Rhinolophus ferrumequinum: one gene and its partners. The protein of the gene in region 1 purifies or fractionates together with the protein of each later gene. This does not show direct contact. Links are inferred from orthologs where the notes say so. Each region holds a gene or a part of one and is shown on either strand. Other genes may lie near its edges.

The links. Proteins that work in one complex are often made in the same cells at the same time.
Region 2: the proteins of NEURL4 (region 1) and CEP97 purify together in Homo sapiens (affinity purification with western blotting; 4 studies listed by BioGRID and IntAct, with this or other methods). This does not show direct contact. The link is inferred for Rhinolophus ferrumequinum from reciprocal best matches to the Homo sapiens genes NEURL4 and CEP97.
Region 3: the proteins of NEURL4 (region 1) and CCP110 purify together in Homo sapiens (affinity purification with western blotting; 4 studies listed by BioGRID and IntAct, with this or other methods). This does not show direct contact. The link is inferred for Rhinolophus ferrumequinum from reciprocal best matches to the Homo sapiens genes NEURL4 and CCP110.
Region 4: the proteins of NEURL4 (region 1) and MAPK6 purify together in Homo sapiens (affinity purification with mass spectrometry; 6 studies listed by BioGRID and IntAct, counting the BioPlex papers as one, with this or other methods). This does not show direct contact. The link is inferred for Rhinolophus ferrumequinum from reciprocal best matches to the Homo sapiens genes NEURL4 and MAPK6.

The regions. Positions count from the first base shown.
Region 1 is NC_046304.1:11,515,370-11,523,039, reverse strand, and holds the start of NEURL4 (neuralized-like protein 4), read right to left. Parts: upstream 3,493-7,670; 5' UTR 3,478-3,492; coding exon 3,196-3,477; intron 2,277-3,195; coding exon 1,832-2,276; intron 1,617-1,831; coding exon 1,551-1,616; intron 1,399-1,550; coding exon 1,100-1,398; intron 933-1,099; coding exon 821-932; intron 730-820; coding exon 641-729; intron 114-640; coding exon 41-113; intron 1-40. UniProt on the Homo sapiens protein: Promotes CCP110 ubiquitination and proteasome-dependent degradation. By counteracting accumulation of CP110, maintains normal centriolar homeostasis and preventing formation of ectopic microtubular organizing centers.
Region 2 is NC_046285.1:30,664,739-30,672,177, reverse strand, and holds the start of CEP97 (centrosomal protein of 97 kDa), read right to left. Parts: upstream 3,404-7,439; 5' UTR 3,220-3,403; intron 968-3,219; 5' UTR 787-967; intron 1-786. Other genes in the region: RPL24 (60S ribosomal protein L24), read left to right, coding at 3,589-3,593, 3,716-3,791, 4,370-4,480, 6,617-6,753, 7,039-7,102. UniProt on the Homo sapiens protein: Acts as a key negative regulator of ciliogenesis in collaboration with CCP110 by capping the mother centriole thereby preventing cilia formation. Required for recruitment of CCP110 to the centrosome.
Region 3 is NW_022680357.1:15,414,414-15,422,358, reverse strand, and holds the start of CCP110 (centriolar coiled-coil protein of 110 kDa), read right to left. Parts: upstream 3,404-7,945; 5' UTR 3,175-3,403; intron 2,305-3,174; 5' UTR 2,223-2,304; intron 1,546-2,222; 5' UTR 1,400-1,545; intron 1-1,399. Other genes in the region: GDE1 (glycerophosphodiester phosphodiesterase 1), read left to right, coding at 4,760-5,020.
Region 4 is NC_046289.1:55,959,270-55,967,175, forward strand, and holds the start of MAPK6 (mitogen-activated protein kinase 6), read right to left. Parts: upstream 3,404-7,906; 5' UTR 3,233-3,403; intron 2,719-3,232; exon of another isoform or gene 2,571-2,718; intron 1-2,570. UniProt on the Homo sapiens protein: Atypical MAPK protein. Phosphorylates microtubule-associated protein 2 (MAP2) and MAPKAPK5.

The sequences.
Region 1 (7,670 bases):
TGAAAGCCCTGGCCCACCAGCTCTCTGAGCTTCCCCTTACCCTGATCGATGCCGTTAATGAAGAAGTGCAGGGCAGAGTTGGACTTCCTCGTGAGACCAATGTGGTCGCCCTCCTATTCAAAATAGAAAAATACCAGTCTGCAATCCATCCACAATCAGGCTCCAGACAGCTGTGGGGACTGTGAGAACAGAGCAGTACTGGAGCCTTCCCACCACCCCAGGTCACAGGGGAACTGCTCCAAAAAGTTCTCCTGAGTCTCAGACCACCATGAATGCTCGATGCAAAGAAGGCACTGAGTTAAGTCCTCTTATAACCATCAACTTGTTTAACCCTCACAACAATCTACAAAACACTCCTAACAAGCTCTTTTTAGACATTCTCTGAAAAGAAGAAATTACCAAAAGGGATAATCTTCTTGCCTCAGGTCACTACCACAAATGGCCAAACAGTAAGGGGAACTGAACCCATGGACTCTAAAATCTGAGTGCCTGTTGGGGAACCCTGCCTTCTCAGAAAGAATCTTCAGACAAAAGATAAAGGGCCTTGCTCTAGGTCACAGAGGAGACTGCAGCGCCCAGGCAAGGATGCAGCATACCGGGACGCCCTGGGAGAGTGGCCCAGGCTGTGCCCCACTCTCACCTGCAGCTCGTCCAGACTGAATTCGCAGTACTCCCGGCGGGTGCCCTTGCCATTGGTCAGAATCCCACAGCCGCTCATCATGATGGTGCCTAGGGGACAGTGACCACCCTGGTTAGGGTATGGGTTTCCTTGAACTCAGCGACCCCAGCTCCTTGCCCCCACCATGCCAGTGGCTGGTACCTGACTGTAGGTTGGTCATGGTGGCTGGATATTCCAAATTGTTGGGGTTGTGGGTAGTGACGCCAATCTCAATAGAGCCTGACCACTTATCTACGAGCTTGTCGATGCGGATCTTGAGTGGAATATTAGCAGAAGGGAGAGGCAGGGAATGTAAATGCAGAGAAAGGACACTTAGCCCGTGGCAATTTCCCAGTCTCCACCCTTCCAACATCAAGGATCACGCCCCATCTTTAGCTCCCAGAGGGTGAAGTGCCAGCCAGACCCCAGGATCTTGCACACCTCAAACATTTCATTGTCTCGGAGCGGGCGGTTGGTCATGACAACCCCATTGTTGAATTCATCCAGGGGCCGGCGACGCTCGGCCGTCTTATTATTGTTGCTGAGTTTGATGAGAGTTCCACACTTCTCGTGAAAGAGCAGGGCATCGTTGGAAGTGAGGATGGGCGAGGTGGCAGCACAGCTAGACCCCAGCCCTTCCCCTGCTGGTGGGGAGCTCAGATTCACATTTAGGAGGCCCCCATTGTAGGCAGATAGTATGGCATTGCTCACCACCTCAGATAGCTCCATGCTGCCAAAGTCTATAGTAGCAGGACAAAGAAAGGAAGCTGAAATGAGGCTGTATACCCTCAAACCCTCAGTCTTGCAGTTTTCTCCCTACCCCTCTCCTGAAGTCCCTCCCTGTCCACCTCACTTCCCGCTCCCCTTCCCGGAACTTCCTCGAAGCCCTCACCATTATGCGACTCAAGGCTGTTAGGAAACATCTCCGGCCGGGCCTGCGCTGGGGACACCATGAAGACTGGGGACCAGGCAGGATGGGAGGGGAATAAGGGTTCAGCCCCTGCTGCACGGCCCACAGCCAGGAGACCCCTATTCTAGCTCCTACTCTCCTCAACAGACTCGGATCTGAGTGACCCTGCCCACACCCAGGGTCACTTGTCACTACATTTCCCCCATTCCGACGGCCATTCCCTCTGTCCCACCCCTCCACCACTGCCCTAACTGTGTTCTCACCTTCATCCCCAGAGGTTCCCTGTTCAGCCAAGGCAGAATCTTCATAGGGAGCAGAGGGCTCAAGGGGAGGTGTGGGAATGGGAGGAGGAGAGCTAAAGCCTGGCTCAGGGGGTAGCACAGTGATCTGGGTGCACTTGCCGTAAAGGTCCACAACAGCCCAGACACGAGCAGGCAGGCCTGAGGCGGCCACACCACAATCCCGCCCATTCACCCAGAGCCGCAGCTCCCCTGCCACCGTACGCTCCACGCCCACACGGTCCCCTTCGCCAAGCTGGTCCAGGTCCTGACCATACTCCTCCAGCACAGAACGTCCATCCCTCAGCACGGAGCAGCCCGACACTACCCACGAGCCCCCCTTCAGCCCAGTGGCGCTGCTTGGGAAGTCCAGCACACTGGGGTCCAGTGCCGTCACTCCAATTTCAATGGAGCCACTCCAGGAGTTGACCTGTGATGGGGTGATGGATACAGGGTCAGGATGGGTCTCCCACCACTAGGCAACCACATTTTACAGGCCACTGCAACCCCTCAACCCACCTCTCAGACAGCTTCATTGGCTTTTTCTCTTGAGACATGAGACGCTAATCCAGAGATGCAGTCCCACAAGTAATTTTCTGGACTCTGTTTCAGGGATTGTTTAGTCTGCTCTCCCCAGCAACTCTGCTCTGTACTGTGGGTACTCGGTGTCTGCAATACCAATCCTTTCCCCAATATGATGGCCAAATTCCCTGGCTTCAGCCCCCTGCCTCCTCTAACTTTGCTAAGCTCTGTGGTTCCTCAGCCACCCAAATTCACAGCTCTCTGCACCCATATTCTTTGCTCTTGTATATAATTTTCCTCCCCCTGGCCTAATTCTCTCCTGTCTCTGGCTCCACTCAGATTCACTCTCTTTCCAAATTCTGGTCTCTTTACTAAATTACACACAAACACATACATACATCTCCTTCTCCCTGAGTAGCTCTCCTTACCCATCTTTCCTACCCAACCAACCCTGAATTTGTCCTTCAATGGTCTGTTCTTTCCTTGATTATCTCTCTTCTCTGCCCATCACATCTCTGACATCTCTCCATCTTCCATCTCCCAGAAATTGTTCCATAAGTTCTGTTCCCTACTCGTTCTAGTGAGTGAGGCCCCGTGTCCCTTCCCTGCTCCTGGGTCTTGGTAAAACTAAAGCTCTTCTTGTCTCCTTCTCCTTCAGACTGCATGTTTCTGTTTCATGCTCCCTTCTTGCCTGTCACCTGGTGTCCTGTCTGTCGGTTCCCTCTTGGTACCCGGTGATGTGAGCTAACCTGGCTGTCCTACCTCGTCTCCCTCTGGTCCCCTCCCACCACCCTCCATATTTTGATTCCGGGGCCCCAGGTACACACCTTGCGGTCGATGCGGACGGTGAAGACGCGTCCATCGCGCAAGGGTTCCCGGCTCAACACCAGCCCGTGGTTAAACTCCTGGCCCGGCTGCTGCCGCCGCGCTGTACGCCCACAGGCCGACAGGCTCACCAAGCGCCCAGTGCGCGGGTGCAGCTCCCCGCCGCTGCCCAGACCCCCGCCAGACCCCGGTCCTGGGCCGCTCCCAGCAGGGCCTCCACCCCCACCAGGTCCGGGCCCCGGGCCTCCCCCAGAGCCCCCACTCCCACCCGACCCCGCCGCCATCGCCGCTGACGCCGGGGCCGCGCGACAGCCGCGCTTGGCGGCACCGTGGCAACCGCGGTGCACAGATACCCTGAGGGAATAGGACCTCGGGCTGGGGGGGGTGGGCAGATATGCTTTACGGCACGGCCAGGCCCTGAAGCATCCCGAGCCAGGGAATTAATGACTACCACGGTGGAAACAGAAGGACGACGGGGTCGGGAAGGTTTACTTTACGGCACGGCAAGGTGACGGAGTGGCTCCGAGAGGGGTGAAGACTTGGGCAGGGAGTTTTTGCGACAGTGGAAGAAACGACTGCCGCAGGCATCTTTACGACGGAGGGGTGCGGGCACCTAAAACTTTCAGCTTTACGACAGCGGCACCAACGACCCCGCCCCCGTCGAGGCAGGCGACATCTTTTAGTATTCGCTTTACGGCAAGGAGGAGGTGTCTTTTCTTCACGCTACACGCTTCAAAGTGGTGTGAGTGGGAACCGGTAGATACATAAATGAAAATCTCTGCCCGCCACACCACTGAGAGGGGATATGTCTTGCGACAGTGTCGCAATCCCTCCACTTTGTATCCCATCTCTCGTGAGAGGCAAAGCAGGCCGACTTTTAGGGGGAAAAGGCTCACGGATGTTTCCAGTGAAGCTCATCTGGAACTCCAATCCAATCAAACTTAGATTTTAAAGCCACAGATAAGTCCAAACAAACCCCGGCAGTTTCAAGCAATGGCGCTGATAGTGCCCAAAGATCCCCCAGAGCTATTAAGCCCCCAGCCCAAATCCGATGCTCGCACTAGGGTTGGAGGACTGACGTCACAAGGCCTCTGGCCCCAAGACCAGGACCCCTGACTATGATTGGACAATTAGGATGAGGGCGGTGATGGGAGAAGGGCGGGAACAAATCCCAGAGACAAAGAAGTAAGATTTGGGGGTGGGACAAAAAGGGAAGGGCAACTGGAGGGGCTCCCAGCCGGAGGTCCCTATATAGTCTTGATTCCACCCACCGCGACTTCGTGGAGCAAAGCGGGAGGGGGCCCGGGCCATAGCCCAAGCTTCCCCCTCCCGCCGCGGTGGAGCTATGTGGATGGAGCAGGGAGGCAGGACGGGGTAGCTGAGAGTGGCCCCCTAGTGGGGCCATGGAGAAGCAGGAATCTCTGGGGGCTGCTGGCGGCCTCAACCGGGGAATCCTCTGGAGGGGTACTCAGGGCAATGCCAGGAGGCATCAGAGGAGTGGAGGAAGGCGCCAGGCCGCCCTCCGGAGTAATCTTGTCTCACTGTTCTGGGCGTTCCCGGCACTCCGGGGGAATCGTAATTTGCAGTCCTGGTTCTAGCCGGTCCTCCGGGGTGGTAGAGGTCCTCGGTTCCGGGCCCAATCAGCATTCTGGGGAGGTTGCGGGGCACAGCCTTGGGTCCGGCACACGTCCTGGCGGATTTAATCCCCCCTTTCCTGGAACCAGTGTATCCGGGACGTCCGGCCTTGGGTCCGAGGAGCCTGGGGTGCACAACTCAGGATGCAATCTGCTCTCCGGGTCAACTTGCTTGCACCCCCACAAACCCTGTGAGGATCGTACCCGGAGTATCCTAAAAGATTGCTGCTCCACTTTGATGTGTAAATCCCCCAGTGCAGAAAAGTAAGGATCCCAGCTCAGCGGGCAGGCAGCTCTCAGCCCAGAGGGAGGGGTTCCGGACATTGAAGGGGGCGGAGCCAGGTGGGAAGGAGCGGAATCCTGAGGACTAGATGTGAGAATAGGTGAGGGCAACTGGGAGGGAAATCTGAGTTTCCAAATCTTTGGGAGAGCAGCAGATACCAGATAAACTCCGGCTACTAGTATGTGATTATCATTAGGTGTGACCCCATCCCTGCCTCCAATGCCTCTGGAACTCCAAGGTGGTAAAAGGATAAGGTTTTGAATGACTGAAAGAATTAGGGATGACTGTGAGGAGCATGCTACTAGGATTCCTCCCCCTTTTTTGTGTCCTTCCGCCACCCCAGGAAAAAGTCTCAGCACTGGGATGAAATGAACATCATGGCCACCTACCACCCTGCTGACAAGGACTACGGATTTCTGAAGGTGGATGAGCCCAGCACTCCCTACCACAGGTGCTGAACCTTCAGCCTCAGCCTCTAGCCCAGACTCTTCCTTATTCAAAGGAGGGAATGGGGAAGGAGGCGGAGAGGCCTCAGGGACTGGATCCTGCCTGCTACCCCGCTCTCACACTGCTTCCTCTCTCCCTGGCAGGCTGCAGAACAGAGATGATGAGAACCCGCTTCCAGGGTCCTCCCACACAGTGACTCCTGAGGCACTAGCACAGAGGTGAGAGTCCTGCCAGATCAGTAGGGATGTGGGGCGTCTTCCTCAGACCTCAGAACTCTAGAGTCTTAGCTAGCTCTGCTTTTTCGCCCCCCAGCCCCCGAAATGAGAGGTACTATAGTTCCCATCAGGCCAAGGCTAAGGTGGGGAAGTCAGCCAGCTTGGCCCCATCTACCATCTGCCCCCATTGTTGTTTTCTCCCTTCAGTGCCCCCAACTAATCTCCCTCCCATTCAGGTTTGCAACAATGGACAATTTCTACCCCAAGGTCCTCCAGTACAGTGATAACAGAAGCTCAGGGTCTTCAGACGACTTTCCCGAGACAAGTGAGATGAGGGGTGGGGATTGAATGGAAAAGGGAGGTGGAGTGATTCTTTAGTGAGAGCATGGCGGGGAAAGCCGAGCTCTTAAACTGGCCCACAGACTTCAGTGATTTTGAGAAGCGCCGCAAGGCACATTACAATGAAGGAACGTTCCTCAAGACTCAGAAAAACCTGCACTTGGGTAATAACAAGAACAGCAACGGGGGTAATGTCAGTATGGACGGTGGCAGTCAAGGTGTGATGCTGGACCCAGGGCCCAGGACTGTGGAGAGAGGCTCGGCAGGAGGACCGGGCAGAGGAGTCAAAGCTGAGATTGGCCTGATGACCAGGAACCACATCCTAGAAGCCAAGGGTTAGCTATGGTGGGGCCCCAGGGACTCAAGGGAATTGTAGTCCAGAGCCTTTTCCACCATAGCCTGTCTTCCTCAGGGGGCATCGATCGGCCCAGGGCCCTGCTGCCTGAGGGGGAGGTAATGCTGGGAGGTGACCCCAGGGAAGACAGAGGGGCAGCTGGGGTGGGTCCCCCCTGAGGATAGTCCCCAGGGAAGGCTGGCTGGTGAGGAGGAACAGAAAGCCCAAGAGAGCTGTGGGGGATGGAGAAGTCACTGAAGGTTTTCTAAAATGGGAGGAGGTAATAGAAGTGAGATGAGAACCTGGGGCTTGAGCTTCTCCCCTGTGATGGTGGTGGCAGCGGTGGTGGTGGTGGTCACAGTAGACACCTGGGGGGCCTAGATACCCTAGGTGGCCATAAGACTCAGATAGATTTGGGTGACTCCTCAGATTCCTCTACCTTCAGAAATCAGTCCCCAGTTTCGGCCACTGTCATGTTCAGCAAGGAGGTTGATCTGCAACGCAAGGAATATTATAGCAAAGGAAGATACCTGAGGTCTTGTCCCCACCCAGAGCTTGAGGAAGACACAGAAGATGAGGAGCGGGACAGTGAGAACTGGGCTGGGTCAGCCTGGGGGCGGGAGGGCTGAGAACCAACAGACTGATGGGTGCCCTAACCCTGATCACATGATGCTCTCAGGCTCCACAAGCTTGAACCGGGTGAGTGAGAATTCCATAAGAACTGAGGTCCATTTGCTGGACCACACAGGAAGCCCCCTTCGGGATCCTAGGCCATCAAGAACTCCCTGACAGTGACAGTGACACCACTGCAGCATGGTGAGGGCACCAGGCCACCATCTCATTGGGCCTTGCTCTTGGCAACCTTCCATCCCCCTACTCCCTACTCCTTTCAAGCCAGTAGATCAGCAACAGGTGCTAAGGCTCTAACCTTCCTGGTGTGCAAGGCCCACATTGTACAGACAGGAACCAGAGAGTCCCAGAAGGGGCTGGGACCCCCTCCAGCTTGGCACCACGTGCTGGCCCCATGCCTCTTTCCTGACTCCTCTCTGCCACCCACCCCACTCCTAGTACTGCCCTGTCTTCCAAAGACAGTGGGTCCCAAGCAGTGTCTGGCTGGTGTCAGTGTCTGGCATCCAAAAGGCTGAATTGCCAAAGCCCAGAAGGTTCAGAGAGGAAACCTAGAAGCAACCCAAACTCCCCAAACCAAAACCAGTGCAGACATGAG
Region 2 (7,439 bases), on another chromosome or scaffold:
CTTTCATTTTATACGGAGCCCTGAAAATTATTTATGCAGCTAGTCCTGTCCATAGGTTCTTCTTCTCTCTCTCTCTCTCTCTCTCTCTCTCTCTCTCTCTCTCTCTCTCTCAATCTCTCTCTCCCCCTCCTTACAATTTACATGTTATTGAAGAAATTAAGTCACCCTGTAGATGCCAACTGCATCCCAGTGGAGTCATTTCACATGTCTGTCTGGCCCCTATATTTCATAAATTGGTACTTACATATGACGACTTGATTAGAATTTTGTTATGTATTTTCTTTTAATTATTTTTTATTTCTCAATTGCAGTTGGCATACAATATTATATTAGTTTTAGGTACAGCATAGTGGTTAGACATTTATATAACTTAGGAAGTGATCCCCGCATTAGTACCCACCTGGCACCATACATAGATATTACAATATTATTGACTATATTCCCTATGCTATACTTTACATCCCCATGATTATTTTGTAACTATCAGTTTGTACTACTCAATCCCTTCACCTTTTTCACCCAGCCCCCCCTAGATATTTTTAAAGAATACTTTATAATTTTTAAGAATACTTCGTAATTTTTAATGCTGTATAATTTTTAAACCTGGTAATTTTCTAACCCAGTTACTAGACATTGCTTTCAAAGCCATCCCTGAAGTCAATGCCTGAGAGTCTTAGGATTGATCAGCCTGCTGGGAATTATGGTGGTATATTCTAAAAGAGGCAAGATCCTTCCTACACCTAAGAAGAGAATGTTATTGGAAGAAAACACTCAGAATGCACTTACTTGTTTTCTAGGGGTGGTAAACACAGAGATGTACTTTCCAGATCCTTCTGCGAGCAAGGGCTTGCTGCCCAACAAAGGGCATCGTGGTCAGCTGCATCCTCCAGCTGTCAGCAGGGTCTGGCTCAGCTGCTGAGAACCACCTAACAGGTCGTGACTCTCCGGAGCAACCCACATCTGGTGACTAAGCAAAGTGGGGTTATAAAGAGGGTTGATCATTTGGCCCAACATGGGATACTCTGGCAGGCAATAATTGTTCCAGAGCTCCTGGCAGGGCTGACTGATGTTTAGTTGGTCCTGCAATGTATTTAACTTTTCCTGCCTAATACTGCTTTCTCTTCTCCCCCTTCTTTCACAAAGCCTGAGCCCTCAAGGTGCGGTGTTCAACCTTAGTTGCAGGGGGCGCTGCCCACCATCCCTTGCGGGAGTCAAGGAGTTGAACCAGCAACCTTGTGGTTGAGAGCCCACTGGCCCATGTGGGAATCGAACTGGCAGCCTTCGGAGTCAGGAGCATGGAGCTCCAACCGCCTGAGCCACCGAGCCGGCCCACTCTTATCTGTCGTTTTACAAATGACACCACTATTCACTAAGTCCTGATCTTGACAATTTCCTTACCTCCTGTATTTTCTATTGCTATGTTAATAAGCGATTCCCAAATCATAGTAGTTTAAAACAATAAACATTTATGATCTCACAGTTTCTATGGGTTAGGAATTCAAGAGGGTTTATCTAGGTGGAAATTGGAAGAGTAAGGAACATGTTCTGCCCCCAGAGCTTCTGGAGGGAGCACAGACACTTTGATTCTAGTCCAGTGACAATGATTTCAGACTTCTGGCCTCCAGCATTGAAAGAAAATGCATTTCCGATGTTTTAAGCTACAAAGTTTGTGCTAATTTGGTATAGCAACTATGGGAAATTAATACAGAAGGTGGAGTATGTATAAAAGGTGAAGAAGCAGTGAAGAGAAGAATGGTCTGTTCTCAGGAGGTATATAGAGTTGAGAAGAGCTCCAACTTTAGTTCCAAATTGCTCCATAAATAAATAAGATAATGGAGTACAGCTGAGCCTTTTGTCTATAAAAGAGAATGTGAGGATAAAGTCAGCAAAAATTTATGGATGGTGTTGGAAACTTGTGCTTTACTACACAACGTAAAATGTTTTTAGGAGTTTCTTTATAATTTCTTATTCTAAGAGTGTTTGAGCACAATTTCATTTATGATACACACAATGTTACAAAGGACCATGAAATACTACCTCAAGAATGCCCAACACGAAAGAAGAGTTAAAAGGCTAAAATCCTTAAGACCCAGTTTCCCACTTTAACTATACCGAGCCAGTCAAGCCAAACACAATTTTGAAGGCCAATAAAGCAAAATCTTTCTAAAATGCTTGGAAAGAGTCTATAAATTCTGGGGTTCTGTGGAGCAAACAGAACCAAATTCCTGCAGGTAAATCTTGGCTCCACCCTCTACTTACATCCAGCCGACTCAGAGCTTATAGTAACCAGGACTATTCAGAAAACAAAAAATTATTTTAATGATCAAACATTTGTTTAATCAGCAGTGATTTAAAACAAAGAGTTGGATGAATGTCAGAGTTGAATAAGTTCATCGAGCCATGTAAGGCTGAAGCATTTATCTGCCCATAGTCTATGTAGACAGTATCTTTCTGAAGTACACCAGGTATTCTCAACAGCTGATCACATTTGGTCAGGCTGTCAAATTTCTCCTCTTTGCTTTGCTTTTCAATTCCACCTAGATCTCTGTTAACTCATTCTTAAGACTGGTTCCAGCATAATTGTACAGCTTTCTTAACTTTAATGAGCCACCTTATTGGATTTTCCAAATCTCTTCAACTACCTCCTTACAGAAATTTTATAGGGTAAGGCTGCTTATATAGATAGCATAAATCAATCATATTTCTGTTTCCTAGGATTGACTCTTGCCACTCCCCATTCATCATATGCTGAAGTTTATCTAGCATTACAGAAGGTTAGAGAGATTAAGGCGTTGACCTTCGGGTGGGTCTGATCAGAACTCTCTTTTCCAGGCCTCCAGGCAAGGGCTTTGCCCTTCTTTGTGCAACCACTGGCCCCTGAGCTCCAATAGGAAACAGCCCCGCAGCCTAGCTCTTCCCCTACCGCAGTCGTCGTTCTGCGGTACTAAGGCGCTTACAGCGCTTACGTAACAGGGATTTTGTAAATTGAATGAACCAGTGTATGTAAATGCTTTAGCATTAGTCCTGGCACAGAGAAAGCACTCAATGAATGTTAATTATAATGAATGTAACGCGCCATCACGCACGACTCGATTTGCACGGCTTGGGAAACAGTTCAGATGTCTTTTTTTTTGCAAATGGTGAAACTATTAAAATTCAATGTTTTTGATTGAGGAAATGGGCGAACACGGAGGGCAAAAATGTGATTTTAAGTTTTACCTGAGGGGTATTCGTCTGTGGGTCACTCAACTGTAAGAGGGAGAATTCACATTCCTGCAGCAGGATGATGGCTTTAGGACATTTGACTGTAGGAGAGAGCGACTCCGAAACCAAGCGCCTGCCTCCCTGGGTGACTGTCACTTCCCTCTCACCCCGCAGAGCTTCCGCCGCCTCTTGCAGAATTCCTCCGCAAGAAAGTGGCCGCAGCTAAAACCTAGATAAGTCGCCTGGTAGTTGTGACGTCATCACCAAGCGCCCGGGTTAGAAAAGGGAATTGGGGGCGGAGATTGGCTCCCCAAGGCCTTAGAAGGCCTCTACCCATGATCCTCTCCTCTTCACCATCTTTCCTTCTTTCCGGCAGCCGTAGCCATGAAGTAAGCGGGAGCCCGGCATCCTAATCCGCTTCCATCTTCGGGCAGAACCCCTCTCGGGCGTCCTGGGTATGGCTTCTCATCGTAGACAACCCCTCCTAATGGGCGTTCGCTTTTCGTTACAGGGTCGAGCTGTGCAGTTTCAGTGGGTACAAGATCTACCCCGGACACGGGAGGCGCTACGCCAGGACCGACGGGAAGGTGAAAGGCCGCGTCGGCTAAACGCGTTTTCTACTTTTAAGAGGAAAGACGGGTCTAATTTGGTCTAGGCGGTGTCATTTAACACATCGTTTCGTGGTCCCTGAAAGGCTTGCTTTGGGGACCCTGTGTGTAGTGGTTGTAAGGATCAGAAACCTCTAAGTGAGCCATTCTTGATCTTTGATCTAGTGTGAGTCAGGTCGAAAATTAGTAGGAGTTTGTGTAACTAATGTCCCGGAGTGAGGGAAATGGGCCACCGAGGTATCTGGGCACCCACCAGGTCCTCTTGGAATCCCGGAAGGAACAGGAACTAGCTGCCTCCCAGAATTTGACCCTCCCCTGCGACATGAGTTTAGCTCTGTCTGTTCTTGAGAAAAGACAGGACCAAATGCAAAGATCTTGGAGGTGCTACACAGTTAACTGCCAGTTGTGTGACACAAACTATTGGGTCTCTGGGCCTCGATTTTGTAAAAAGCACAGGATAAAACTGGAATATTAATTAGCTAAGGATTTCAAGCTCAGCCTTTTCTATTTTGTATAGTTGAGTAGGTAACTTATATATTTTGAACTTGTCACAACAGGTTTTCCAATTTCTTAATGCAAAATGTGAGTCGGCATTCCTTTCCAAGAGGAATCCTCGACAGATAAACTGGACTGTTCTCTATAGAAGAAAGCACAAAAAAGGACAGTCGGTAAGTAAAATGCACTTTGATGTGGGGCTCTCTCTTAATTTGTTTAAATGCTGACCTTCAGTTGCTGCTCTGTAAAATTGTAACTAAATGAGAGGGTATGTGAATGTGCTCCTAAACTGCAAAGCTTCAGTGAAGTGAAAATGATTGATATTAACAGTGCCTCCTTATACATCTTATTAGGCTTACGGTAAATACCAAGTTGAAATTTGAAAGTGTCCCTTTGTCCAAGTCAGATAAATTAACATAAAGCTCACTTGGGTTACAGGGCACCATGGAAGTGTTTAAGGTGTTACAGTGGGTGGAAACTAAGTAGTTATGGGAACTTGGTTTTGATTATTATGTGTATCGGATTAGTCCTAACACAGATAATCGGTAGAATCTTCCAGCATACTAGTACTCAAGAAGACTGGGTTTGTTTTTGAAGTGCTCTTTTTACTTGACAGAAATTTACGACAAAAAGTTAAGTGCTAAGGCAATAGGGTTAGTATCCAGGAGGCTTGCTGAAGTGTTTAGACTCATGGGTGAAAGACATTACTAGGTATTGTGGGCGTTCAGAGGAAGGAGAAATTTATTTCTAAACTAATTTAAAAGTGGGTTTGACACATCCAATAGGATAGCCATTATCAAAAAAGGGAAATTACAAATGTTGGTGAGGACGTGGAGAAATTGGAACCCTTGTGCATTGTAGCGTTTTAAGATGGTACAGGCACTGTGGAAAAGAGGTTAGCAGTTTCTGAGAAAGTTAAACAGAATTATTGTATGACCCAGCAATTCCATTTCTAAGTACATAACCTAAGAGAATTTTAAGCAGGAACTTACACAGATAATTTGTACACTGATGTTCGTAACACTATTATTCACAATCACCAAAAGGTGGAAACAATCCAAGTGTCCCATCAGTGGAAGAGTGGATAAGAAAATGTGGTATATAAATGGAATGTTTTTCAGTTTTAAAAAGCTGACAGCCAGACAGCTAGCATGGATGAACCTTTTAGATACTAAGTGAAATAAGCCAGACACAAAAGAGCAAACATTGTATGATTCCACTTTTATGAAGTACCTAAAGCAGGCAAATTCATAAGACAAAAAGAGATTACCGGGGTGAGGTGAGGGAAGAAGGAATGGGGAGCTATTATTTAATGGATGCAGAGTTTGGGATGTTGAAAATGTTCTGGAGATGGATAGTGGTGGTGGTTGCACATAATTGTGGGTGTGTTCAATGCCATTGAATTATAAACTTAAAAATGCTTTAAATGGGCTAGTTAATGTTACGTATATTTTACCACGATAAAAAATATTTTAAAAATGGATTTGAGAGAAGGAAAAATATAAACAAGTAAAAGGAGCATTTTAGTTAACCACAAATGTGCCCTATTTTCTCTATATAGTCTGTTTAAAATTTTAAAGATATTTGGCATTATCCCTGCTTTAGAAAACAGTTCTTCACATACATTTTAATTTTTCTTGGACTAAGCAGTGTGCTGCAAGGTCTTTTTTCTCAGAAGCACTGTAGTGTAGGTTTCCAGTATAAAATCTGCAGCAAATGGTTGGATTGTACTGTCTTGATTCCCTGACGCTTGGTGGCTTTCCTGTCACCAGCGTAGAAAATACGTGATTTTCTAACTTGACTATTTCTACCAGTGATCATACTTTGAGTAAAAACAAAACAAGTGAGTTGAGGTTTGATCTTTTTTTCCCAAAAGTAACTTCTTTAAATGGTCTTACTAAAATCACTTTTAAAGTACTAGCCAATTAACTTCCTCAGAGTTTAACTTTCTGTCTCTTTAAAGTAGTAAAAAATGGCCAGGATTTACAATAGATGGCTTAACCAATCCATAATACAAAGGCCAAGAGAGGGTTCCCCTGTCCCCATATGTGATGATTTAGCTATAGCAGGAAGAGGGTTTTCACCTGACAGTGCTGGTACCCTGACTTCCACCCTCCAGAACATGAGAAATAAATGTCCATTGTTTGTATGCTTCTCAGTCTGGTATTTTGTTACAGCAGCGCAAATGGACTAGGACAAATATTAATCGTAAAAGACTTCACATCCCCTGCCTTAAAAACTTACTCATTTCTCCCCCAAATTCATGAAGCAAGGTTCATAAGTGTGCTCCCTATTTTTTTGTTTTGTAGGAAGAAATTCAAAAGAAAAGAACCCGCCGAGCAGTCAAATTCCAGAGGGCCATCACTGGTGCGTCTCTTGCTGATATAATGGCCAAGAGAAATCAGAAACCTGAAGTTAGGAAGGCTCAGCGAGAACAAGCTATCAGGTGAGGGAGCCTTCATTGTCAGCATTATTTAGGTTTAATATCAAGTTTATGACATAGTCTAAATGATTTGAAATTTCTATATGCAGTTAAAACTATGCAATTTCTATGTTATGCTGACTTGGTGGTTAATGACATTTGGTGACAAACCCTTTGGATTTATCCTAAAAATTGGAGATGGGAAAGGAATATGATAATTCCATTTTTCCAAACACTCTAGCTCCTTGTTAATAAGCTGTACCCTTAAGGAGTAAAGTGCTTTACCTTAAGTTATTTTTAATCCTACAGGGCTGCCAAGGAAGCAAAAAAGGCTAAGCAAGCATCTAAAAAGACAGCAATGGCTGCTGCTAAGGTAATTGTGGGATTGTCTTGGATTTCATATTTAGAACAACAGGAAAGGGGTTTTTTTAAATCCAAATTGTGGTAAATGAAAGTTTCAAGTTTTTAAAGAATTTGGTGCAGGGCTCTAATGGAAATAATGTTCATAGCTGGTTTCTGGGTGTTTTGTTTCTTAAAGTTTATTTTGAAATAATTTGTTGTCTCCTTAGCTCATCCAGTCTATGACAGTATCTTTGTCTTTCATTTATATTTCATAGAAAGGTGGACTTTTAACTTTGGGGGAGGGTTCTTAAGAGTAATATTGGGAATGCCATTAAATAGGAAAGCAATCTAGGGTACATGCAGAATTT
Region 3 (7,945 bases), on another chromosome or scaffold:
AAAAGAGCATATTTATTTTTTAAAATTCTTTTTCTGTCATGGAGTTCAAAGTCTATTACTTGCATATCTAAAAAACATAGTATGACTCCATGGTCACTGGCCAAATCAGTCAGCAGTGGAAAACAGAAAATCTATAGGCTCTCATAATAATTCTAGTTGATCATTGAAAATTGAAACCATTGCCAAACTACTTAAAACAATCAACCCTGTAACTTCACAATTTCTGGAAAAGTGTAATGGTGGCTATGAAAATACAAGGGAACCAGGAAGGATTAGCCACCATATTCATTCAGCTAGCAAGCATTAAATATTTGATTGCCTGTTTCCATAGCATTATGTCTGGCATTGTTTCCTTTAAATAAGCAAGGGAAAATAAAAAGGGAGTCATCATCAGACTCATAACCAACAAGGGAATGAACTGTGAGGACAGAAAAACTAATACAGTAATGTATCTTTCAGTGTTCATTTTAAAACAATTAATTAATTAACAAAAGACAGAGGGCAGGGAGATTCAATTCATGATGTAGGATATGCAAAGATGAAATAAGAGAGAATATGATACTGTCCTAAGCCTCCAGGTACTTAAAAATTCAGTACACTGAAGTGCCAGGGACAAATTATAATACAATTAGAAATGAAGAAAAAGCATATGAAAATTATGATTAGATTGACCAACTGGTAGTCTTAATAACTTCTTCCTACCATCCCATCAATTCTAAATATTTCCATATTCAAATTATGCAAAGTGAGCGTTTAATTCACAGAAATGTCACCATAGCAAGGCCTCCATTTTCAGTCTAGAGTCCAACCTACATTATGATTACGATTATCTTAACAATCACAATATGCAGAAGCTAAGACGTAAGAGAAATTCAAACGACCCCATTTTGATTAAAATACTTCCAAATATTTTTTACCACAATCCATGCATCCAGCATTTTACGGCACATAAATAGATTACTCATACAATTAATGTTAATAGACTTCCTATGGCTACACAAACAAAGAATGAAATTCTATTTTAAAGGTCTGGGAAATTTAAGGAAACAAAGTATCTTTACAATAGTTTCAGTTTTCTTTCAACAATGTCACATAGATATGCCTCATTGCTTCAGAAAGTTAAATTCATATCCCTTAAACAGTACATGTATGTCATACATACTGCAGGTGGACCGTAATTTATTATTATTTCAGCATAACTTGTGGCATCTGCTATTGCATGAAATATCCAAATACAAGTGCTAATATGCTGACTATGGAAATTACCAAATGATCCTAGAAGAGCATGACTGGATCCTTCTTATCCTTCAGCCTCAGCTTGTTGGTCCCCCATCTAAATTAACCCTGCATCAGTCACGACCACATTATACTGCTTCTTACCAATTTCCACAGCACTTACCACTATCTGAAATTATCTTGTTTGTTGCCTTGGTTTTTGTCTGCCTTTCTCCAGTGAAACACGAGCTCCATAAGCACAGGTGCTTTCTCACTCTTGCTCACCACTGAATCCCCATGACACAGGAACAGCGCCAGCACTCAGTAGCACTTGATAAAAGTATTGAACAAATACATCAGGGTAGTTAGCTCAAAGAATAATGCAAACCAGGAAAAAGATGAACAGCGATCGACTAGATAGCAAGGCAGCTAGCAAGGAAGAGTGGTAGTTTCATGGATGACCCTATTCTCACAGAAACTGGCACCTCTGAACTGCAAAGGCAGCCACTTACAAAGTGAGCATCCATAGCCTGCACGATTGAGCAAGAGGGAGCCGCCTTTCTCACAATACAATCACCTCTGTCAGCAGGATTTTATTTTTAGGGAGCCCTGACTACACGGCCACACCAACCACAAATCTACTGCCCCATACTTGACCATCAGGCATTACCGGCTCACGTGCATTAATAATTTGTCAGCTGCATCAAGTTCAGACATGCCTCGTCTTTCCCATTTATACCATGACCCTTCTCCAAGTAAGCCTCTTTGCAAACCCCTTCGACTCATGGCCCTGCGCCTGCGCCCTGTTCCTCACCAGTGCTTTACGAGTCACATCACTGAAGGGAATGGTAAAAGTAACACAGAACAGATCTTGCCTTGTTTAGAGATTCTAGATGGTTGGTTACCCATCCGTCCTCCCAAAGACATAAACCTCTTGCAGAGGCCATACAGGGGAAGGTTTCTTATCCAGGCACACACTCGCTGTAAGTTCTTGGCAATTCACTTACCATCTCTATGCCTCAGTCTCCTCATCTGTAAAATAGGGATAATCTCATCTGTCTCAAAGAGATCCTGTGAGGATTCAAGAAACTAACACACGGATGGCAATTAGTATACTGCAGGACATGCAGAAAGCATCAATAAAAGGGGGGGGGCTGCTTTTATTATGCAGATGATGATGGTGATAATGATGATGATGGTGGCTTATCACTAAATTATGAACTCCTGGAGGGCAGTGAACAGTGCGTGGTTCCTGGTAAGATTCAAACTTAACTGTAAAACATGGAAAGGGGGACAACAGCGTCCTCATTTCTTATTTTTCCAGACCCCTTCCCATTGAATCAATCTCTAGCACCTGTCATTTGCCTCAACGCGGGGGGTAGGGAACTTGGATCAAAACCAGAGAGAAGCAAAGATTGGGAACCACGTAGCAGCATGAGAGGCAATCAAGATAATTTGCTTTATTATCCTCATGCTTCTGCCCCCAGAGAGTCGCGAAGGCAGAGTAAACAGCGCTCCGAGGGCCTCCGGTTGTGGTAACCCGCGTGCAGAAATGGCCAGTACACACCCTGGGGACGCCTCCCTCGCCAGCCTCGTGGCCCGGTGATTTAAATAGGCCCAGTTTTATCAAAAGGAGACAGGCTCGGGCCGGAGTTTATGTACCCGGGACCCTCACGCCAGCGCCCCACATCCACCTCCCCCAGCTCCTTGGATAAGGCTCCATCCCTAGGGCCCACCAGGCGGTGGTGCCACCATCCGAGCATCACCTCCGCGCTGGGTGCCACGGGCACCGGGGCCCCCGCCTCCCCACACCGGCGCCTTTCCAGGGGCTCGAGGCCCGGGAGCCCAGCATTGGCGCTCGGGTTCCGTACGGAGCCCGCCCTCAGCTCCTCAGGGCGCCAGGTCCGCCTCGCCCGGTGGCGGGACCCTCGGAGTCAAAGCCCCTCCTCACGCACACACCTGATCTCCTACGGCTGGGTCAGCTTTCCTCCCCTCACCACAGGCCTTGTCAGGAAGCAAATGGCTCAACTGGTACTGACAGAGAGCAGCTCGGTCCACCGCCGCCGCCTCCTCCTCCTCCCCGCCATATTACGGGTCTCAGGCGGCAACGCGGGCTCCTGGCAACCGCCGCCGCCGCCCAGACTCCACCTCTCAGGGTGGGCACTTCCGGTGGTTGCTTCCCGGGCCGTTGAAACCGTTGGGCCACCAGAAAACTACAGTCCCCGAGGTGCATTGCGCGCCTGGGTAAGGCTCCTAGGCCAGTGATGAAGGGCGTGGTACTTACGGGAAGCGCGGTGCGCGCCGGGAAACGTAGTCTTCACTGCGAGCTAGCGCCTCTACCGTTACAAATGATATAGTGACACCTTTCATTTTGTAACTTGACTTTACGCTCTGCCTCTCTTATTGACGCTCCTTCCCGTGCCTATTTTTGCATATGTAAAATGAGAGTTTTAAAAGTGACTGTCACAAGGGTGGTTATGAGGAGCAGCAGATAATTCTCGCCCAATAACTGGCTCGTAAGCCCCATGACCAGCCCTTGGCAGGACGTAAGGTTAGGAGGAGAAGTAGCAGTGGAAAAGTCACTGGCCTAAAACTGGGGTGGCTTGAGTCAGTCTTAACTCTGCCATTAATGGCTCAATTCGCTTCACCTCTCCTGGCCTCAGTTTCCTCATTTGCACAAGGAGGGAATCATTCAAATGCCTTCCAGCTTTATAATCTGGTTTTCGCTCATTTTGCTATGCCCTTTCGTTCCCTCAGTCTGAAAAACCCTCCTAAAAATCAACTGAATTCAGTCTCCTGAGATAATACCTACCCACTGAGGCTGTTGTGAAGATAATACCTACCCACTGAAGCGTTCGCTGGCACAGAACCTGGGACATGGTAGGTGCTCTATGAATGTTAGCTGTACCCCCGAACACAATTATTTTCCCCCACGATTACGTAAGCCCCGCAAGAGTAGGAACCCTGTAGATCCTGTTCACTGCTGGGCGGTGTCCTCGAAGGCAGACTGAAGGAGTCACTAAGATCCCATCCAGTCCTACGACTATACAACAGCTCTCGTATCCCTCCCCTTCCGGAGTCTGAAAGCTCAGGTTGAAGTCCAGATCCCAGAGTAACCCAAAAGCCACTTTTGGACTTTTGGAATGCGGGCCTGGGGCCTGGGGCCTGGGGCCTGGGGCCTGGGGCCTGGGGCCTGGGGCCTGGGGCCTGGGGCCTGGGGCCTGGGGCCTGGGGCCTGGGGCCTGGGGCCTGGGGCCTGGGGCCTGGGGCCTGGGGCCTGGGGCCTGGGGCCTGGGGCCTGGGGCCGCCTCCGTTGCCATGGCAGTGGCTCCGCCCCCGTCCTCGCAGATCCCGGGCCCTGATTGGCTGGACTCCCAGCCCCTTCCAGGGATGTGGCCGCCGCCGCCGCCATTGTGAGGCGCTAGTCCCTTTGAAGGGTGTCCCCTGCGGCGAGTGCCTTGGGCTCTCGCCCTCGCTTCTCGTTCTCCTGTCCCAGGAGCCCGGCGGGTCCGGGACTCCCGTCCGTGCCGGTGCGGGCGCCGGCATGTGGCTGTGGGAGGAACAGGGGGGCCTCCTGGGCCCTTTCTCCTTCCTGCTGCTGCTGTTTCTGCTGGTGACACGTAGCCCCTTCAATGCCTGCCTCTTCACCGGCAGCCTCTACCTTCTGCTCCGTCTCTTCAGCTTTGAGCCTGTGCCCCCCCGCAGGGCCCTGCAGGTGCTCAAGCCCCGGGACCGCGTTGCCGCCATCGCCCACCGCGGCGGCAGCCACGACGCGCCCGAAAACACGCTGGCGGCCATTCGGCAGGTGAGCCCCCCCCCCCCCCTGCTTCCTCCCCATACCCCCATCTCTCCCCCCTCGCGCCCCTCCGCCGCTCCTGGGAGTTTGGACTTCTGCTTGCCCTTCCCAAGCTTCCCCAGTCTTCTCACGACAGCCTTCCCAGTACCCCATTCGTCCGCCAGGAAGACATTCAAGTGGCCCAACATCCCTCTGAAGTCTGGAAAGTCTTCAAGAATTTGTAGAACAGCAGCAAATATTGACATGTTTGCTATGTGCCAGGCACCGCGGACACACGAACAAGTCCGTAAGGGCCCCGCTTTCACAGAGCTTGCCTTGCAGTGGGAGAGACAGGCCTTAAACGAGGAAACCCATAAATGAGACACTTGAAGAGAGCGAAAAGCGCAAAAAAGAAATAGGGTAATGGTACAAGGAATGACCCAGAGGAGGAGTTAAGCTGTTTTAGACAGTCATCAGAGACGTCCTCTTGAAGAGAAGAACGTGCGAACTGAAATCGAGATTATGAGAAAGACCCAGACAGGGATCTGGGGGGAAGGCGTCCCCGGAAAAGGGAACAGCAAGAGCGAAAGTCCTGAAGTGGGAAGGGTGTTGGAATATTCAGGTGACAGAATAGGCAGTTCTGTGGCCTGACTTCAAGGAATAAAATGAAGGCTGGTGTGGGAGTGAAGGAAGAAACGTGGCCAGGCTAAGCAGAGGCTTGATCAGTGGTTGAGTTCACGCTAAATGGATCCCCTCCCCAGGAGCAGCCGTTGCCCACGTCATCTCCTTATCACCTTTTCCCCCAAACACACTGACACTCAGACAACCATGTCAGCGGGACTCCTGATGAATTTTTGCCTCCCCTTTTCACAGGGCTCTCCTGGCAGTCTCGCAGCTTCACAATAATAATACAATAATAATGACAGCTTACATAGCAAGAGAGCTTTTGCGTTGTCTAGGTTCTTTTGCATCTGAGGAAATAGATCTGGTCCTCTCGTTTCTTTGAGACATTATTTTAACATTGAATGGGTAGGAAAACTGACTCAAATACATGGCTCCTTGAATTCAGCCTTCTGATTCCAAGCCCCAATCCACGTTGTCATAGATTAGAATTGTTCCAGGATGGGAAAACGTGGGCTGAGTATCCTTTATTTGTCCAGCTAGGGACAGACAATGTTGTATAAGGAGCAAGTTACTTAAGTTGTGTGTGTCCCAGTTAGAGTCATGACTAGGGTATGGCAGGCCAGGCACCTTAGGACACCTCCCTTCACTCTAGTCCTAGCCCTGACCTCAATTGCCCCATCTGTACAATGGGAATACTATTGGCATCCACTTAGTAGGTTGTGATTCAGTGAGACAGTCGACACAAAGTGCTTGGCCCATGATGAGACTTCCATTCATGTAAGATCTTTAGGCCAAGAATCTAAAGATGGCTTGATCCTTTAAAATCATCTCCGAGTAAAGGTTAAAAAAAATAAGTGAAGAAGGAAGGGAGTCTGGAAGGCAGCCTGTAATTTACTGGAGCGCACTTCACTCTGTGTTTATAAACCAAGTTAAACTTCTCTTGTGCTTCTTTCCCCGTGGTTCTTTGCGATGGAAGGGAGGCAGAACAGCTCTTTAAGCCTTCTGTTTAAAAAGAAATCTAAAGATATTGAAGGGTGTATTTTATATTCTAAACTAAAACTCAGAGCGGTCAGATGAAGTAACATAGCTACACAGGAGATAGAATTGTCATGAAAAGAAAGATGACACTATAGGAAAACAACCCAAGAGTTCTACCATTGTCAGAAAGTCTTCCGTGATTTTTCACATCATAGAAAGTTTAAGAATATAAATTATGAGATGCAAACATGCAAAGGGAGAAAGAACAGGACAAAAACCAAACTTTGATGGAAATACACTATATATTTCTTTTGAACTCAAGATGAAGGGAATGGCCTTCTGTAGATAGAGAAGGACTGAGAGATGAAATGAATGTATTCCAAAAGCATACACAATTACGCATAGTGACAGTGATGAAATTTTACCCACAGTCCATTCTCCACACAGGCCAGAGTACCTTTTTAAAGTATAAATCAGATTGTACTATCCTGCCCTTATTTAGAACCCTCCAGTGGTTCTCTGTTGCAGTTAGATAAAATCCAAACACCTTTCTATCTTGTGTCTTTCTCAAACTCCATAATCTGTCTATTCCAACCACCTGGGTGTTTCTTAGAATGCTTTTGGCTTCGTGTAATAGAGAGTTTACTACAAATATCGCAGACAATAATGGGGTTATCCTCTCACATGACAAGTGTGTGTGGGAGAGGTGACTTCCGGGATTGTTTCTTCAGCCATTCAGTTTGTGATCATGGAGGACTCAGGTTTCATGGATCCATCTGCTCTGCCATCTGCAGCATATCTGTACTAGTCCTCTGTGCGGTTGCCAGGTGGCCATTGCACCCCAGGCATCACCTTCTTACACACCAGCATCTAATCTCAAGAAAAGGCTGCACGTCCTCTCCCACGTTTCTTTCCCAGAAGCCTCCGTCACGCACGCACGCAGACAGAGGGATTGGGAGTAGTCCACTTACTCTAAGCCCAGGAGAAACTGAACACTGGGGCAAGGGCCAGTCTCCGCCAGCAGAGAAGAAGGATAGATTTGGGTAGGCAGTCCCCACGTTGTGGCTCCCTCCTCCCTGGTGGCCTTTGTAGCTTAGAAGAAAATATGGGTGTATGTGTTTATAAATGGGGGATAGAAAAAGATTTTAAAAAGATAGAAAACTCTCTACCCGTAAAGAACATTGATAAATTTGATAATCCAGTGTTTCAAAACAACCCAGTACCTAACAATGGCTAATATTTATTGAATGTTTACTGTGCGTTAGTAGAGTGCTGTAGGTTGTTTATAGGCACTTAAGTGTACAGCAGATACACAAAGGCCTCTGGGAAATGATAAGGGAAGGATGCACGTCA
Region 4 (7,906 bases), on another chromosome or scaffold:
ATATTTGAATTTTATGTTTCCTTTCATTTTAAAGTTTGAATTAAACTTTAAGTTCCTTTATATAAATCATGCAACACTCTTCCAAAATCTCTCCCAAGATTTAATTCACATTAACAATATATTCATTGCTCATAAAGCTCTTCAAATAAGGCACTTTGAGTATCTCAGTTTTTATTTTTTTATTTTTATTTTTTTAAGGATGGGGTATCTCACAGTGGCCCATGCAGGGATTGAACTGGCAACCTTGGTGTTATCAGCACCATGCTCTAACCAACTGAGCTACTAACCAGCCACCCCCAAATAAGTCACTTTGAGAAGATAAATAGTATACAAAGAAAAATGAGGGAATGGGGAATTTTTTCTTCTCACTTTTAAAACAACCTGTTACTCTCAATCTTCCTTTTTTTAAATCTTATTTTAAGCCACAATGCTACATGATAGCTTTTTAAAATCAGCCAAAATATCTTAATTACCAAACATCAGTCAGTGCATGTCCTAAATTTGGAACTATACATTCAGCTTATCTTTAAAATAAAAATACTGATGGAAAACAGTGCCTATAACAATACCTATTTCAAGTTGTCTTTATTAAAGCAGAAAACTCATATAGATCAGGAAAAAGCACTATGTATGTAATTCCATCAGAATGAAATGCTCATGCTCAAAGCAATATATGATTACATATTTCTGCACCTTTACAGACTGATTTAAACTAGCTTCCAGATATTATAAAAATAACTTTTACATTACCAATGAAGATATAAGGTTAATTTCTACCCACATCATAAAAGTACTATCTGTCCTTTGTAAATACTCTGTAATAAACCTCAATCATAACCGAAGAACTGCTAGTATGAAACATTTAACTGTAGGCACTGACCAGCAATTTTACCTTTCCTCTCAACAAATGCTACAAAATTCCACCTGTAGGATATATGATAGCCTTCTAAAATGCAATTTAAGAAGCCATTACTTTTTTAGAGAAACTGTGGTTCTGAGACAGGGAGAGGGAGGGAGAGAGAGAGAGAGAATGTGGATTATAATGCGGACAGAAATATTTTAGCCTATCATTTTAAAAAAATACAGTGTATAAAAAAAAGGCCACGTAGCAGTGTGGGCAGGATGAGTCATCACCCAACTCAAAACTTGCAGCACTTCAAGCTTCCTCCTACCCGACCCTATCCCCTTCAGCAATGTACCCTGAGTCAGCAAACCTTACCATTTTGTCAGTTATGAATTCTCACGATGCTTAAATGAACTTATGTAAAATGCTACAACACTTTTAGTACTAACACTTGTCATTAGAACAGGTGCTTTTTCTATTGCAAAATTAATTGCTCTTCAATCTTCTCTAGATTCTTTAATCACAGAAGGTAGTCAAACACTGCTTTTCATCTTCTTTTGCAAATAACTGAACTCCAAAATGTGGTCATACACAGAGGGTGCCAAAACAATGTATACACATTTTAAGAAAGGAAAAAACTGTATTAAAGTTGTAACACTCAATATATACTGATCACAAAAGATGAATGCAAATCATGTGTATACATTTTTTTGGCACCCCCAGTTATAAAGGTTTTTATAAATAATTCTCCATTTCCCACAGTTTTTTTCTGAATAGCAGTATCTGGGTGATAAAACATGTTTTACTCAAATTTGGCATTTCCTAGATGACAGCAATTACTGAATTTAGGACACCAATAAGCAATTTTACAAGTTTCACAAGGCAATCCTTATTAAGTGATGTAACATATATGAAAGGACTTTACACAACTTGGCACATAGCAAGACCTTCATACACATGTTTGAACAACGAATCGTTCAAGATATGTTAAGTTTCTTCCACCCAATTATTTTTCTAACGTTAAAATCTGACATTTCTAAGAGAAACTCTAGAGGCAGTGCCCTCTTTGGACCCTACATTCATCTAGTCAGATTACTCTTTCCATCTCAGTTTTCCAACGTTGGAGAGACGCTATGTCCAACCAGACCTTTAAAATATAACAAGAATCAAGCAATCAGAAAATTACTCTGAAGCAGCCTGCGTTCCATTTTGTCCCCTGTTAATTTTTTTTTTTTCCCTCTCAACGAATCACCTTGTATCCGTAATAGAAGTTAATACTGAGACTGACTTTTAAGGGCATTTTTTTGCACTGAAGGAAAGAACATGAATTTCGCTACAAATTCAGTAGGTTTCTAATTCCACATCACCAGTTTTCTTCACTGGACCTTTTCCAATAACAAGCAAGAGAGAAAAAATAAGACAGAAAAGAAATCAAAAAGATCCTGCTTCACAGAGCTCCCACATAACACCTGAACCAGACGAGTCTTACTAAATAAAACAAGGAACAAAAGGCGGCCAAAACACCTTTACTTTTCAACGCACCACACCAAATCAGATAAAAATGCATAGCGAAGTCAGAAGGCCCTTTTTAGTGAACGGACAAAACAAGTTTTCATTTGGGTACTTTCACCCACCACCGCTCAACGTCCCGAAAGCGGCTAAGGCAAGGCTGCAGGAGAGCGGAGGGAGGAAATTAGGAATTCCCACTCAGACCAGTTTTCTGTACCTCATTTATGGCTAGACTCAAAACTTGGGCAGAGGACTTCATGGCTCTGAGACGAGCCGGGTGAGTGGTGCGCGCTACGCAATTTGCCGAGTCCACTGGAGACTTTGCCCGGCCGGAGTCAGCTGAGGCCGAGTCACCGGAATGGGATGGGGGAGGAGACCCGAGAGCATTTCGAAAGGCACCGTGCCAGGAAGGCGAGACTCCGCGCCACCTCACGCTCCCCGCCCGGGCCGCCCCTCCCGGCCGCCGCCCCTAGTCTGCCGGCCGGGCTTCGAACCTGAGAAGCCCGGGGCCCGCAGCAGCGCCGCAGCCGGCACGCGGGGTCCCCGGGGCTGGCGGGCGCGGCCCGGCCGAGCTGTCGGCGAGGGGCGTGCCGGGTGGGAGGGGCGCGCCGGCCGCTCTGACGGCCCCACGCGGGGACCCCGGCCCGCCGCCCGCCGGCCCGCGAGGGGACGCGCCGGCCAGGCCCGGGCTGGCGGGCCGGCGGGCGGGCAGGGGGCGGGCGGGAGACGGAACAAAAGCGCCTTTGTTGAGCGGCGGCCGCCGGAGGGTCACACACAATGGAGCGAGCCGGCTCCGCCGCCGCCGCCGCCGGGCCCGCCGCGGCGCCCTCCCGAGCCGCCCCGCCGGCGCGCCCCGCACACGTACACACACGCACTTACGGGACTTCTCCGAGTCATCGAGGGAGTGCGGGACCCGCGGACAGCCCCCAGGGTCGGCTCAGGTCTCCGGCTGTGCTGGCGGCACCGGTGTCTCCGAGGCTCTCGCTTTGCCGCAGTCGCCGCCATGTAACCCCGACCCGCGAGAGAGGGCGAGGGAGAGGGGGCGCGGCCTCGTGAAGCTACGCCCCTCACGTCACAGGCTCACTCCACGGGTTCCCCCGCCCCCGGCCGGCCCCGCGCGCCTGCACGCGTCGGAATTTCCAACGCTTGTGACTGGGGGCCGCGCGCCGCGGGGGTGGCCCGAGAAGCACGCGGGCTCATCAGCCGCCTCCGTGTGCTGGGCTGGGCTGGGCTGGGCTGGGCTGGGCGGCCGGCGGGGAGGTGGCCAGACGGGCCTTCTCTGCTCGGCTACTTGCTCTAGCACTAGACACAAAGTGGCTAAAACTCCTAGCGTTTACTGCGCACCTACTACATGCAAGGCACTAGGCAGTCCAAAATGAAAAGGCCTTCATCCCTGTCTCCCGGATGAGCCGGAAACAAGAAAGCCGGACCTGAAGATGGATTGGCTAGAAGGCAACAGCCGATTTACAAGGCAATCGCGTTAGAGGCCAAGTGCTAAGAAGGCCATTAATTCTGCCTGAGGGGGTGGAGAAAGGCTTCTAAGTGAGGTCGACACAGGTGACCTTTCAGCTGGATCGGAAGAAACCGATATAACCAGAGGAGGTGAGAGGGAGGGTGTTCCTGCGGAAGAAACAGCAGAGAAAGAGGGAAAGCACCTGGCTTGTTGCAGGCACTGGGACCAGGCCAGTTTTACAGAAGCGTAGAATTTGGGAAGAGCTACACTGGGACATGTAGTGGGAAATGTGGATTGGTGCCTATTTAGATGAAAGGCAAACTTATTTTATTTATCCTGGCTTATTAAGTCCAAGGAGCCTTTCCAGTGTTTATGTGAAATTTATGTAGGTATTTATTTATGAAATGAGAGACGCTGGCCAGCATATTTTTTCAATGACTTAATTCCATTCCTGATGAGAACCAAACGTTTGGCAGCCTTTATCCATTATTGTGCTCATCTTCAAGCGTGAGGCAAAGACCACTTCAAAGATCACATAGTGGCTTGAAGTTAAGTGATTTGGAGGGAACTTGAATGTTTTGTATTTAAAACAATACCATCTGAGTACCAGGTGTGAAGAGGAGATTGTGAGTAGATAAAACCGAGAGAAAGGGGAGGCTTGTTCCAACCCCAGGATTTCTAATTTGTGGATGCAGCCTCTACAACAAGAGTTCCTTACCTGCAACCACTATACATCCCTTACTGATCCAACTCTAGTCTCCCATCAGATTCGTAAGACACCTTTCCTCCCCATCCATCAATGTTGGATCACCAGGAGGAAGAGGGGAGGAAAATAAATAACAAGCACTGTGTCATCCCTGGTGGAGTTTAAAATGTAGTGTCAGCTCCTGACTTCCAGCAAGGACCACCCAAATAACCTGTTAAGCAAGCAAAGCCAAGTTCATTGCTTACAGCAGTAAGAGATCATTATGTTGGTAGTTAGAAGATTCGGAGGATCTGGTTTAAGACAGGTCTTTCAGTGAAAGAGCATGATTGAGATTGAGCTAAATTCATGAGATAATCATTTAGGATGAGTGGACACGGGAGAGTTTTGAAGCAAGCCTAGAAAAGTAAACAGTTGGTTGCTAAACCTAACAGAGTAATCCTGTTGAAGAGGGAGCTATTTACCCTGATGAAAGTGAGATCAGTCAATAGTCTTGTTCAGGAAAATGGACTTTTTTTTTTTTTTTTTTGAGGAAGTTCCTGAAACTGCAATTAAGTTAACTGTAACTTCTTCTTGGGCAAGAATTTCTTGAAATTAAAGTCGTTTATGCAGACAGTTGAGTTGTAAAGTCAGGTTAATGTAGTCAGCCTTAGTTTTTAATCCCATTGTGTAGCTGTAAAGTGTCAGTTTTCTGTAGTTTTTCTCTACTTCCTAAGTGAGTAGTGAAATGATTTTGGTGATTATAATCTGCATTTTTTAATAATGAAATAGAATGAAAGACTAGGGAGCCTCACCCATAACAAATGGTAAACATTGTTTTGTGAAACTTTTGTTTCAGTTCTGTACCATATTTCAACAAATCTATGTCATCAATTATGACATGCCATTACTTTATGTACTATTAAGAAAGTGAAAACTCTACCAAAATATGATAGCCTATTGCTACATCTTGATTGCAGAGATATTAAAATGGAGGAAATGCTTCTTTAAATTGATGAAATGTATATATAAGTGTGCATACAACATAAAATGTATTTTCACTCTTACTGTTTATTATTGCTATGAGCCATGCTATTGTTAAAAGAGTTTGAAAGCCCTTGTAGTGAAGGAATACAGGAGAGGAACAGGTAAGTGTACACCATCAGGTAGCATGAGATGCTTCCTAAGCAAAGATGCAAATTACCTGCGTTTGTTGGAAGTAACAATTAATAATGATTGTAAACATCCGGAAAGCTTCAGTTGGAAGAGACAATATTTGATACTTCCATCAGGAAGTATCAGGAAAAAGACATTTCTGGATGAAAGAGCAGAATGTACAAAGGCATGAATGTGCCTGGCACACTTTGGAAAATGGGAAGAGTCTGACAGGCCCCAGGGAAATGAAGACAAGTTAGCACTAGAATGAGAAAGCCTTGATTAGATGCCAAAACTTCTGGATTTATGTAAAGGTAGTAGGAGAAGAATTTAGATGATACAACTAGTTTTTTAGAACAATAATTCTGGCATGGATGGGAAGGATAGATTAAATGAACAAGAGATTGGAGATAGGGAGAGAGTAGGAAAATCCATCGTTTTTTCTGTCCTGCATCCAGCCTACTTTACTATGGTAACAATATGCTGATGTTCTTTAAGGAGCCACCCTTTCTTGTGTACAGTTCTCTCTCCCTTATCCATGGTTTCATTTTCCATGGGTTCAGTTACCCATGGTCAACCATGGTCCAAAAACATTAAATGGAAAATTCCAGAAATAAACATTCATAAGTTATAAATTGTGCGCGGTTCTGAGAAGCGTGGTAAAAATCTCCAGCTGTCCTCCTCCATCCCACCAGGAATGTGAATCAATACCTTATCCAGTATATCAAGCTGTATGTGGCTACCAGCTACTCATGCTTTAGTCACTTAGTAGCCATCCAGGTTAGCATAGGACTGTTGAGGTATCATAGTGTTTGTGTTCAAGTAACCCTTATTTTAGTAAATAATGGCCCCAAAGCCATTCACGTAACTTTAATTACAGTATATTGTTATAATTGTTGTTTTATTATTGCTGTTGTTAATCTCTTACTCTACCTAATTTACAAATTAAACTATCATAGGTATGTGTGTATAATTTAAAAACATAGTATGTATAAGGTTCAGTATTATCTGTGGTTTTAGGCATCCACAGGGGAGTCTTGGAACATATCCCCTGCGGGTAAGGGGAGGACCACTTTGTGAGCTACAAAATAGGAATTGTGTGATTTCACAAAGGAGTTAAATGCTGTTATATTTGTATTTCAAACTGGCATTGTACAAAAATTAAGTCTAAAATTCATGCTAATTTTTAATTTTCCTTACTTAGAATGATATTAAATCGTTATAATAGTTAACTCTAAATTTAAAACACTATAACACATCAAGAGAGAGAGACTAGAAGAAAGGAAATAAGCTTTGTATTTTAATACCTTTAGCTGCTTTTTTCCCCTACTTTTGAACAAGGGACCCCAGAAATTATGTAGCTGGCTTTGAATCACCCCCAAAAGAGTCCCAACAGCCCTACTCTGAAGAAGGTGGGTCAGGGAAAGACTCCCCAACTCCCCTCAACTCCCCTCACTGACAAGGCTAGGGCAGGAGAGGCAGAGAATGGTGGATAAGGCGTCCAAGGTCACAGGCCCAGCCACCTACACTCAGAAGTTGCATTTCCTGTAGTAAACACACTCATGGAGGTAGGAAGTGGAGGAGGAAGGAAGACCTTGCTCTGCTGCTGAGGCATCTTTTCCGGTGGAAACAATGTTATGGGTCACAGTTCTCACCCTCATGGTTGAGCTGCATGTGGGCTAACTGGGCTTTTAAGAGTTGTCCTGAGAACCAACCGGTATTTATCCCATTGCCTCTCTGGGGAAAATCATTTTCAGTTTCAAACAACCAAGTTAGAAATCAACTTTTGGTAGCATAACTCAGTCATACAGAGACTCTCTGTACCATCCTAGCTCAGAAATGCTGAGACCATAGAAAATGATGCTGTTTGTAAAACCCAGGTAAATAAATGTTACTGAGAAGGTTATTAAAAGTCATAACTTCACTTTATCCTCTGGGTGGTATGAAGAATCCAGTCCTTAAGATTTACAGCTTGAAGAACTTGATTGCGGGTTCACCAGGGTTGATTGGTCTCTGGCAACCAACACACCAAACAAACCCCAGAGAGTGTACACTGGAAACCAGATGCCAATCCATTAAGAACACAAGAAAAGCTGTGCTGAGTTGGAAGATTCATCCAGTCTGGCATGCTCAGACAATGACTGTGAACTTCTGTATTTATTCATTGTAAACTAGTATTGAGCACAGTACCTGCATACAGTGTTCTTTCAATAAATGTTTGTTGAAAATGAACTGTTTTTGAATATTGCAATTGCCCTCTATG